Linked DNA regions of Rattus norvegicus. The protein of the gene in region 2 purifies or fractionates together with the protein of the main gene of each other region. This does not show direct contact. Links are inferred from orthologs where the notes say so. Each region holds a gene or a part of one and is shown on either strand. Other genes may lie near its edges. The genes, in order: Sprtn and Pold3.

The links.
Region 1: the proteins of Pold3 (region 2) and Sprtn purify together in Homo sapiens (affinity purification with mass spectrometry; 3 studies listed by BioGRID, with this or other methods). This does not show direct contact. The link is inferred for Rattus norvegicus from reciprocal best matches to the Homo sapiens genes POLD3 and SPRTN.

The regions. Positions count from the first base shown.
Region 1 is NC_086037.1:69,753,714-69,758,042, reverse strand, and holds the start of Sprtn (DNA-dependent metalloprotease SPRTN), read right to left. Parts: upstream 3,055-4,329; 5' UTR 2,791-3,054; coding exon 2,570-2,790; intron 2,560-2,569; exon of another isoform or gene 2,289-2,559; intron 1,970-2,288; coding exon 1,870-1,969; intron 1,151-1,869; coding exon 1,022-1,150; intron 1-1,021. Other genes in the region: Exoc8 (exocyst complex component 8), read left to right, coding at 3,321-4,329. UniProt on the Homo sapiens protein: DNA-dependent metalloendopeptidase that mediates the proteolytic cleavage of covalent DNA-protein cross-links (DPCs) during DNA synthesis, thereby playing a key role in maintaining genomic integrity.
Region 2 is NC_086019.1:163,841,196-163,845,002, forward strand, and holds part of Pold3 (DNA polymerase delta subunit 3), read right to left. Parts: intron 2,805-3,807; coding exon 2,639-2,804; intron 1-2,638. UniProt on the Homo sapiens protein: Accessory component of both the DNA polymerase delta complex and the DNA polymerase zeta complex.

The DNA.
Region 1 (4,329 bases), on a different chromosome or scaffold from region 2:
CTTTTGTCTTGAGATAGTCCATTTCTCAGAGTTTCATTTGGGGACAGCTACTATATTTAATTTCTTTTCCAAAGTTCACTATAATGGGAAGCATCAGGTAATTTAAAACTTCCAACTGTAAATATAGAAGCATGTAAAGCAAGAGATTTTTGTGGGCAAAAAACCCCACAACCAGAAAACACCACCATGAATGAAAATGTTGCAGAGTGAACAACATCATCATTAAAAGCTAGGCCCGAGGATGTTCACCACAACCTTACTAAGCTACCATAGAGAGAAAGACCTGAGACCACAGGGCTGGAGAGATGGCTCAGTGGGTAAGAGGCTACTCTTACAGAGGACCCTAGGTTCAGCTGCCAAGCACCCACAATGCAGCTCACAACCATCTGTAACTCTGGTTACAGAGCCCAGGGATCTGACGCCCTCCCACAGGCACACATGCAAGCGGAGCATCAGCGCACACAGAGAATAAAACTGCACAGAAGGAAAGGTGAGGAGGCACACACTTCCTTAAGTTCCTGGAATGATAAAAACTGCAAAAGGGCCAGATCCTTCCTAAGCAATCACACAAGACCCTCATAGTTAACAACATTGTCAGTGCTCACGGTGCACCGCACATCCTTTACTGTCACGATCTCAAAAGCAGGCACTGCCGTGACGCCACTGCATAGCAGCGATGGTTCCAGAAGAGCTCAGGGAAGATGAGCTGGAGTCACTCCTGAAGGTCCCATGCCTGAAATGCTGGCCTGCAGTTGCTGAAGCCTCAACGAAGAGGCCTGCAGGCTCCTTAGCCACTCTACCCCTAGAGACTAAATGGTAGGACTCTTGTTCAAGGCTGAAAATCTCTTTCTACCTAGTTCCCCTTTGCTGAATGAATGGCTACTAGGCGTGGTGGGACATACCCACAATCCCACCACTTAGGAGGCTAAGTTAGAATTTTGAGTATGAGGCAAGACTGGTCTACACAGCCAAGACCCTGGTCCTGCCTGCTCCCCAAACCTGTGTGGCTCAGTGTACCGACCGTTATGTTGGCTCCTGTCAGCTGGTTGATTCGATGCATGTGTTTACAGAACTCTGGGCCGTGTCCTTCTCGGTCTTTGTCATTATTAGTGACAAATAAGTAAGCATGGATCATTTCGTGCAAGAGAGTCTGAAACACAAAACCAAGTATTGATTTTCTAGGGCAAGTGTGAAGCTAAAATGAATTCTTTTTTAACCTGCAGTCTTAGCCTTCTGCAGAGCCAAGTACAAACCTTTACATATATTCCAAGCTCTACAGAACCCAGTACCCCTCTTCACAGAATGAACGCTGCTTAGGAAGGCCCATTTAACTATGTACCCAAACCCAAAAGGTTGGTGAACCCAACCACACAAAAACTTTAACATCCAATAGAGTCAAAACTCTGCCATGCAGACTCCAGATGCCAACAATGGAAATGCGGACACCAAAAGAGCAAGCAGCCCAGCTCTGAACGGCCACTGGGCATGATCCTGACCCATGATCCCAGACTCAAGGTGGAAGCAGAAGGCTCAGGAGTTTGAGATCAGCTTGGCTACAGCAAGCTCTGCCTCCCTCACCATCAAACCCCCCACAACCCTGCGCCCTCTAAAAATAGCTGGGTACTTGCATGCCAGCTCACTGGAGAGGCTGAGGCAAGAGAAGCATTAAGACCAGGGCCAATCTAAGGAATAGAGACTGTCTCTTAAAATCAACAAAATACCCTGGACGGGAATGGTGATGCACTGTTGTAAGCCCTCAGGCAGAGACCAGAGGATCTTGTGGTTGAAGATAGTATGAGCTACTATCAAGAACACATCATTGAAAAATAAAAATCTAAATGTTGAGGAACCAGTTTATGCGAAGACTACCTCTACAAGGTCCTTTCTTGGTCTGAGTTTTAACAAGGGTTCACTGAGACGGATGGAGCACATGCCTCCTCTCCCTTCATAGGTGCAGATGCCAGCACACCTGGAAAACAGTCACGGACAATGGATTAGGTTCACCCAATGCACAAAGGAGACAGAACAAAAAACAAACCCTCGCCTGGCATGGTGGCGCAGGCCTTTCATCCTAGTCCGTGGGAGGCAGATGCAGGAGGATCTCCCAGTTCCGGGCCAGCCTGGTCTACAGAGTGAATTCCAGGGCAGCCACAGATACATAGTGAGACCCTGTCTCCAAAAAAAAAAAAAAAAAAAAAAGAGCCAGCAAATCCTTATCCTTGGGCAGTTCAACGAAAGTCCCTGATAGAGGGCTTTTTAATAACACTTGATCACCCTCACACCCTCACCCACTGTTATCCTCTCTGCTCCGCACCGGGACTTGTCACGGGGCCGATGTGAAGTTAGAAGTACGCTACGTCTCAGCCTGCTTCAGCTCAGGCTGCTATGTGACGGTGTATATGCAGGGCAGATTATTATCTAGAACAGGATTTCTCAAACTCAGTGGGTAGATGAGGGATCCTGCTGGTACATCTCTGAGAGCCGTTGGGCCACGAGGAGGGGACACACCAACGACAACTCAGCGCCCTTGCCCTTCCCTACGTTCCGAGCCGTTCGTGGGCGCACTCACAGTGTCATGCGCACACTCCACTTCACCTCCACGGCCTCCAGCTGACCCCAGAAGAAGCGATCGTTAAACTGCAGGAAGAGCGCCTGCAGGTCCGGGGTGGGGTCCACCAGCTCCCAGGACGCGTCCACCAACGATAGGGGCTCCCGCGCCGCCGCGCGCCGCGCCGCCTGCACGTCCCACTCCTCCTGCAGCCGCAGCGCGACCACCAGATCCTCGTCCATCCCGATACTCTCACTTCAGCCGCTCCCAAGACGCCGGTCGGGCTCGTGAGGCGTACGGATCTCGCGAGACCTCCCGGCCCCGCTGTCAGGGCGCGCGGGCTCGCCTCGAACGCCTAACCGAAGGTGGCTCGGCTCTGCCCCGCGGACACAGACTTAGGAACGCTGGGCTCGGGGTAGGGACGGCTTCAGGAAGCCAGTTGTCTCCAGACCGCCGCCGAGGTCCAGCGCCTCACGTCAAGTCTGGTCCGTGCCCGACCCTCCTCTGACTTCCGTACTGGCCCGTCCGCGCACGCGCCTTAAGACGCTGCCGTTTCCGCGCAGGCGCGTCGTCGACACTCCGCCCCGGGCGCAGGCGCAGTGTGAGAGTCTCGACTTTGGCACAGGCGCAATGCAGCGCTCGGCCCCGGCGCAGGCGTTTGGGTGTTGCTCCCGCCCCGCTTCCTCTACCGCTTCTCCACCGGGCTCGGGTGGGGCCGGGAGGCGGCGAGTGACAGCCACTGCGGGCCGCGGGAGCAGGGCGGGTGGCAGCCATGTCGGACAGCGGGGCGAGCCGCCTGCGGAGGCAGCTGGAGTCGGGGGGCTTCGAGGCGCGGCTGTACGTGAAGCAACTGTCGCAGCAGTCGGACGGCGACCGCGACCTGCAGGAGCACCGACAGCGGGTGCAGGCGCTGGCGGAGGAGACGGCGCAGAACCTGAAGCGCAACGTCTACCAGAACTACCGGCAGTTCATCGAGACGGCGCGCGAGATCTCCTACCTGGAGAGCGAGATGTACCAGCTGAGCCACCTGCTGACGGAGCAGAAGAGCAGTCTGGAGAGCATCCCGCTGGCACTGCTGCCCGCCGCTGCCGCGGGCGCATCCACGGGTGAGGACACGGCGGGCGCGGGACCGCGGGAGCGCGGGGCGGCCCAGGCGGGCTTTCTTCCGGGGCCGGCCGGAGTCCCTCGCGAGGGCCCCGGGACGGGAGAGGAGGGCAAGCAGCGAACGCTCACCACGCTGCTGGAGAAGGTGGAGGGCTGCAGGGACCTGCTGGAGACACCAGGTCAGTACCTTGTGTACAACGGGGACCTGGTGGAATACGAGGCAGACCATATGGCCCAGCTGCAGCGAGTGCATGGCTTCCTCATGAACGACTGTCTGCTGGTGGCCACTTGGCTACCACAACGGCGAGGCATGTACCGCTACAACGCACTCTACCCACTGGACCGCCTGGCTGTGGTCAACGTCAAAGACAATCCACCTATGAAAGACATGTTCAAGCTGCTCATGTTCCCTGAGAGCCGAATCTTTCAAGCGGAAAATGCCAAGATTAAACGCGAGTGGCTGGAAGTGCTGGAGGAAACCAAGAGGGCGCTCAGCGACAAGAGGAGACGGGAGCAGGAGGAGGCAGCCGCCTTGCGTGCGCCACCACCGGTCACTTCCAAGGGCAGCAACCCGTTTGAGGATGAGGCCGAGGAGGAACTGGCCACCCCGGAGGCAGAGGAGGAAAAGGTTGACCTTTCCATGGAGTGGATCCAGGAGTTGCCGGAAGACCTGGATG
Region 2 (3,807 bases):
ATAGACCAGGCTAGTCTTGAACTTACAGAAATGCTCCTACCTCTGCCTCCTGAATGGTTAACCACCATGCCCAGTGAGACTGGTTCTCTGGGGATATATACGGTTATAACTATAACTACATCACTTTATAGGTGGCCAGAATAAAAGGTTTCCCCAGTTCTCCATAGGCCATTTTTTAATCTAGAGTCCTCTAGATGGCCCCCAAACCCTGCTAACTGGCCTTTTAGTTTTTTAACACACAATTAATAAGCAGCTAATCAGCTATAATACAAAGACCAGGAAGGAAATACTGTTCTCAAGAAGCTCTGGCAGGCCATGCCCATAATTTCCACAGAGAGGCTTCTAAGACTAAGGCCAACCTGGGCCTCGCAGTGAAACCTTGCTTCAAAAGAGGAGCCTGCTCTGGCCAAGTGCACTAGCTACTATAGGACATGATAAAACTTAATGGACAAATAGCTGTGGGATACGACTGTTAAACGCTAGTAGACATTCAACAGGTAGGAAGGGAAGATAAGTATTCTACAGTGAAAGAACAGTGTGAACAAAGGCACAGACAAGACCATAAAGTCATCCTAATGATGTAATAAAAACCTAGACTCTGTCTTGACATTTTTCAGCTTTTCTGTCTGCTTTCTCCATTACAGCTTTCACTTAATCTATAAATAATTAGGGGCCTATTGTGTGTTACAGTCATGTAGATATGTAAGCCAGGGTCTTTTTGTCATTGAATACCTGTCTTATTTCATTTTGAACATCATTTTTTTCCTACTTCAACTAGAAAAAAATAAAATAAACACAACATAAGCCAAAAGAAATAAACATATTAGTGGAAAGCAATGAAATAGAGAAGAAAGAAAAATTTAAAAGCCCAAAGTTGTTCTGTTAAGGAGAAAAGATTAATAAGCCTTTTACAAAAGGAGGAAAACATGTACTTCCAAGTAAGAACTAGAGAATAAAGGAATCTGTAGTCTTAACTATACAGTCTATAAATACTCCAAAAACAAGACTGCATTGTGAACAACTTTAGTAAGTTCAAGCACTTAGAGGAAATAAATTCCTTTAAAAGCACAACTTACTCAAAACCAAAAAGAACTAGAAAATCTGAATAACACTATCTAAAGAAGCTCTCACACACAAAAATAAAAATCCTTCCTATAAAGAAAACCCAGGCCCATATTCACTGATAGATTTATCATATATTTAAATGTACTGGAAATACATCTACATAGGGCCAGAGATGGCTCAGCAGGTCAAGGTGCTTAGTGCCAAATCTAATAAACTATGTTCTATCCCAGGCCCACATGGCGGAAACTGACTCCCTCGAGAATGCCCTCTGTGCCATGGTGTGTACATAGCCCCCACCCCAGACAATAAATATAAAAATAGAAAATAAAGTTCACAAAGTCTTTTGGAAAATGGGAAACTCCTCTTAATTTATGAAGTTAACACAAGTTTGATACTAAAGCTAGCCAATTACCAGCAAACAGATGACATAAAATAGATATTTGAGGATATAGATATCCTCAAAAATATAGAAACAACCCTCCCTCTAGAGTTACATCAACTGATCTAGCAGTGTGTAAAATAGTATGACCAGGGAGCTAATGCTAAGAATGCAAGGCTGGTTTAACATTTTCACGTAAATCAGTATAATCTACCACATTAGCAGAGAAAGTTTATGAGCCACCTTAGTAAAAGCAGAAAGCGGGTGTAAAATGTAAAATCAATGAGTAAAAGCCTCTCAGCAAACCTGGAATAGAAAAGAGAAGAAGCCTCAACCTGGTAAAGGACACCTACTACTAAAAACCTACACTTGACTTGCTGTTCAACAGGGAAATACTGAGTAGATGCCTGGTAACAGCCTCTAACAGTCAGTGTTGTGATCATGGCTGGGGACATTTTAATCCACATATATCATGTGTTCCTGGGAGGTAAGGCCCACTGGACAGAGCCTTACCCCTCTGAAATGTCACTATTTTGTTGCTCCAACTTTACCACAAAAGTTGGTTCTTTGTGGGCCTATCAGTGCTGACAGTGTCCTTTAGAATTTCTTTCAACAGACTAATTCCTACCAGCTATGAGGTAGTGTCTCAAACTCCTGGATCCATTTTTAACAGCTTGTGTGCTTTTTATTTTCTTTTCTAATTACATTTTACCACTTGAAAAATAAACTCATTGATATAAAAAGAAAACAAAGAACTTCTTCTCTTAAACTGGACTGGAAACAGTAACTTCTCACTGGGTAATTTGATGTGAAACACAAGCACACACACACACACACACACACACTCACACACAAGCACACTTACACAGTGTCTACACACACACATTCACACACAGGCACATTTACACAGTGTCTACACGTTTAACCTGAAGTCTGGAGGCAAAGGCAATCCCTTTGCATCAACAGGGACAAATGCAGCCCTGGATCCTAAATCCCCCAAGCCAGCTGCTCTGTGGTCCTGACTCACTGGATGAGCCATGGGGCTTCTGTCTTCACTCTACCTGGATGGCTGCATCCCTAAACATTAAGTGGGACTTAATGCTGAGCTGAAAACTGCCTGCTGCAGACAACCAAGCAGACCATCTCACCTCCACAAGACACTCTCCCCTCCCCCAAGGGACAAAATTTTCCTACCACTTTTTTTCCTTCTGCTGCATCTTCACAGGCTCTGACTTTCTGCTGGATTTCTTCAGAGCTGGGGGAGCTGCCAGCTTTGGTTCAGCGACAGACACTGGAGGTTGCTCCACTGTTTTTTCTTCCTTTACTGCTTGTTCTGAATCCAAATTGACTTTAAGTTTACCTACAAATAAAGTACGGCAGATGATGTACAACCCATCATACAGTAGTAATCCATCACTCTTTGACAGTCCACAGGTAACATGTTAGGAGCAAGGGATAAAAAACAGTCCCTGTCCTAAAGGAGATCACAGTTGATTAAGAAAACATCTGCAATCTTCATTTCTGCTCCTCACTAATCTCTCATTACCTCACAGCTCTAAATGACAGCAAACAAAGACCTAAAAATACCAAATTCAGCTTTGGGGCCTTAACTTTTTTAACTACATCTACTACTTTATTATATGTATGCTGGGTGTGTGTATGCCATGGTATATGTGTGAAGCTCAGTGGTGTATGCTCTCTCCCTCTACCATGCAAATCCCAGGGATCAAATCGTCAGGCCTGGCAGCCCTTAAGTTCATCTTAATTTACAATAGAAACAGAGCTGCAGGTAGTCATGATGTTCAAGAATAGAGCTTAAAACTGGGTGACTGCTACATTCGTAGCAACATCTTTTCTATTCTACCTTTAAAAAAAAATTACTTATTTTGTTTGTATGGGTATTTTATCTGCATGTGTATCTGTGCACCACATGCATGTCTAGAGCCTGTGGAGCCCAGAGGAGAGCATTAGTTATAGATGCCCTGGGTAGTTATAGATGGTTGTGAGCCACCATGTAAGTGCTGGGAATTGAACCCAGGCCTTTTAGAGGAGCAGCCGGTGCTTTTTAACTATTGAACCCTGTATTCTACCTTTGAATGCCTAGATGTTCCCATCTCACTACCACCTTCAATGATAAAACTGAATTAATTCAAATCTGCTTCCCTCTGGGCAAGTCCAAAAGTATTTTTTCTCTTTGAGAACTGGAATAATATTTACAAGACACTATCAGGTACAAACATTAAGTGAGTTACCTAAGGTATCACTGAGAGGAAAAGCAAGCTCTGGATATGGGCCTCAGTCAGTTCAGCTCCTGATCTGGGTCTCCACACTAAGCTGAGACACCACAACACACATAAGCATCC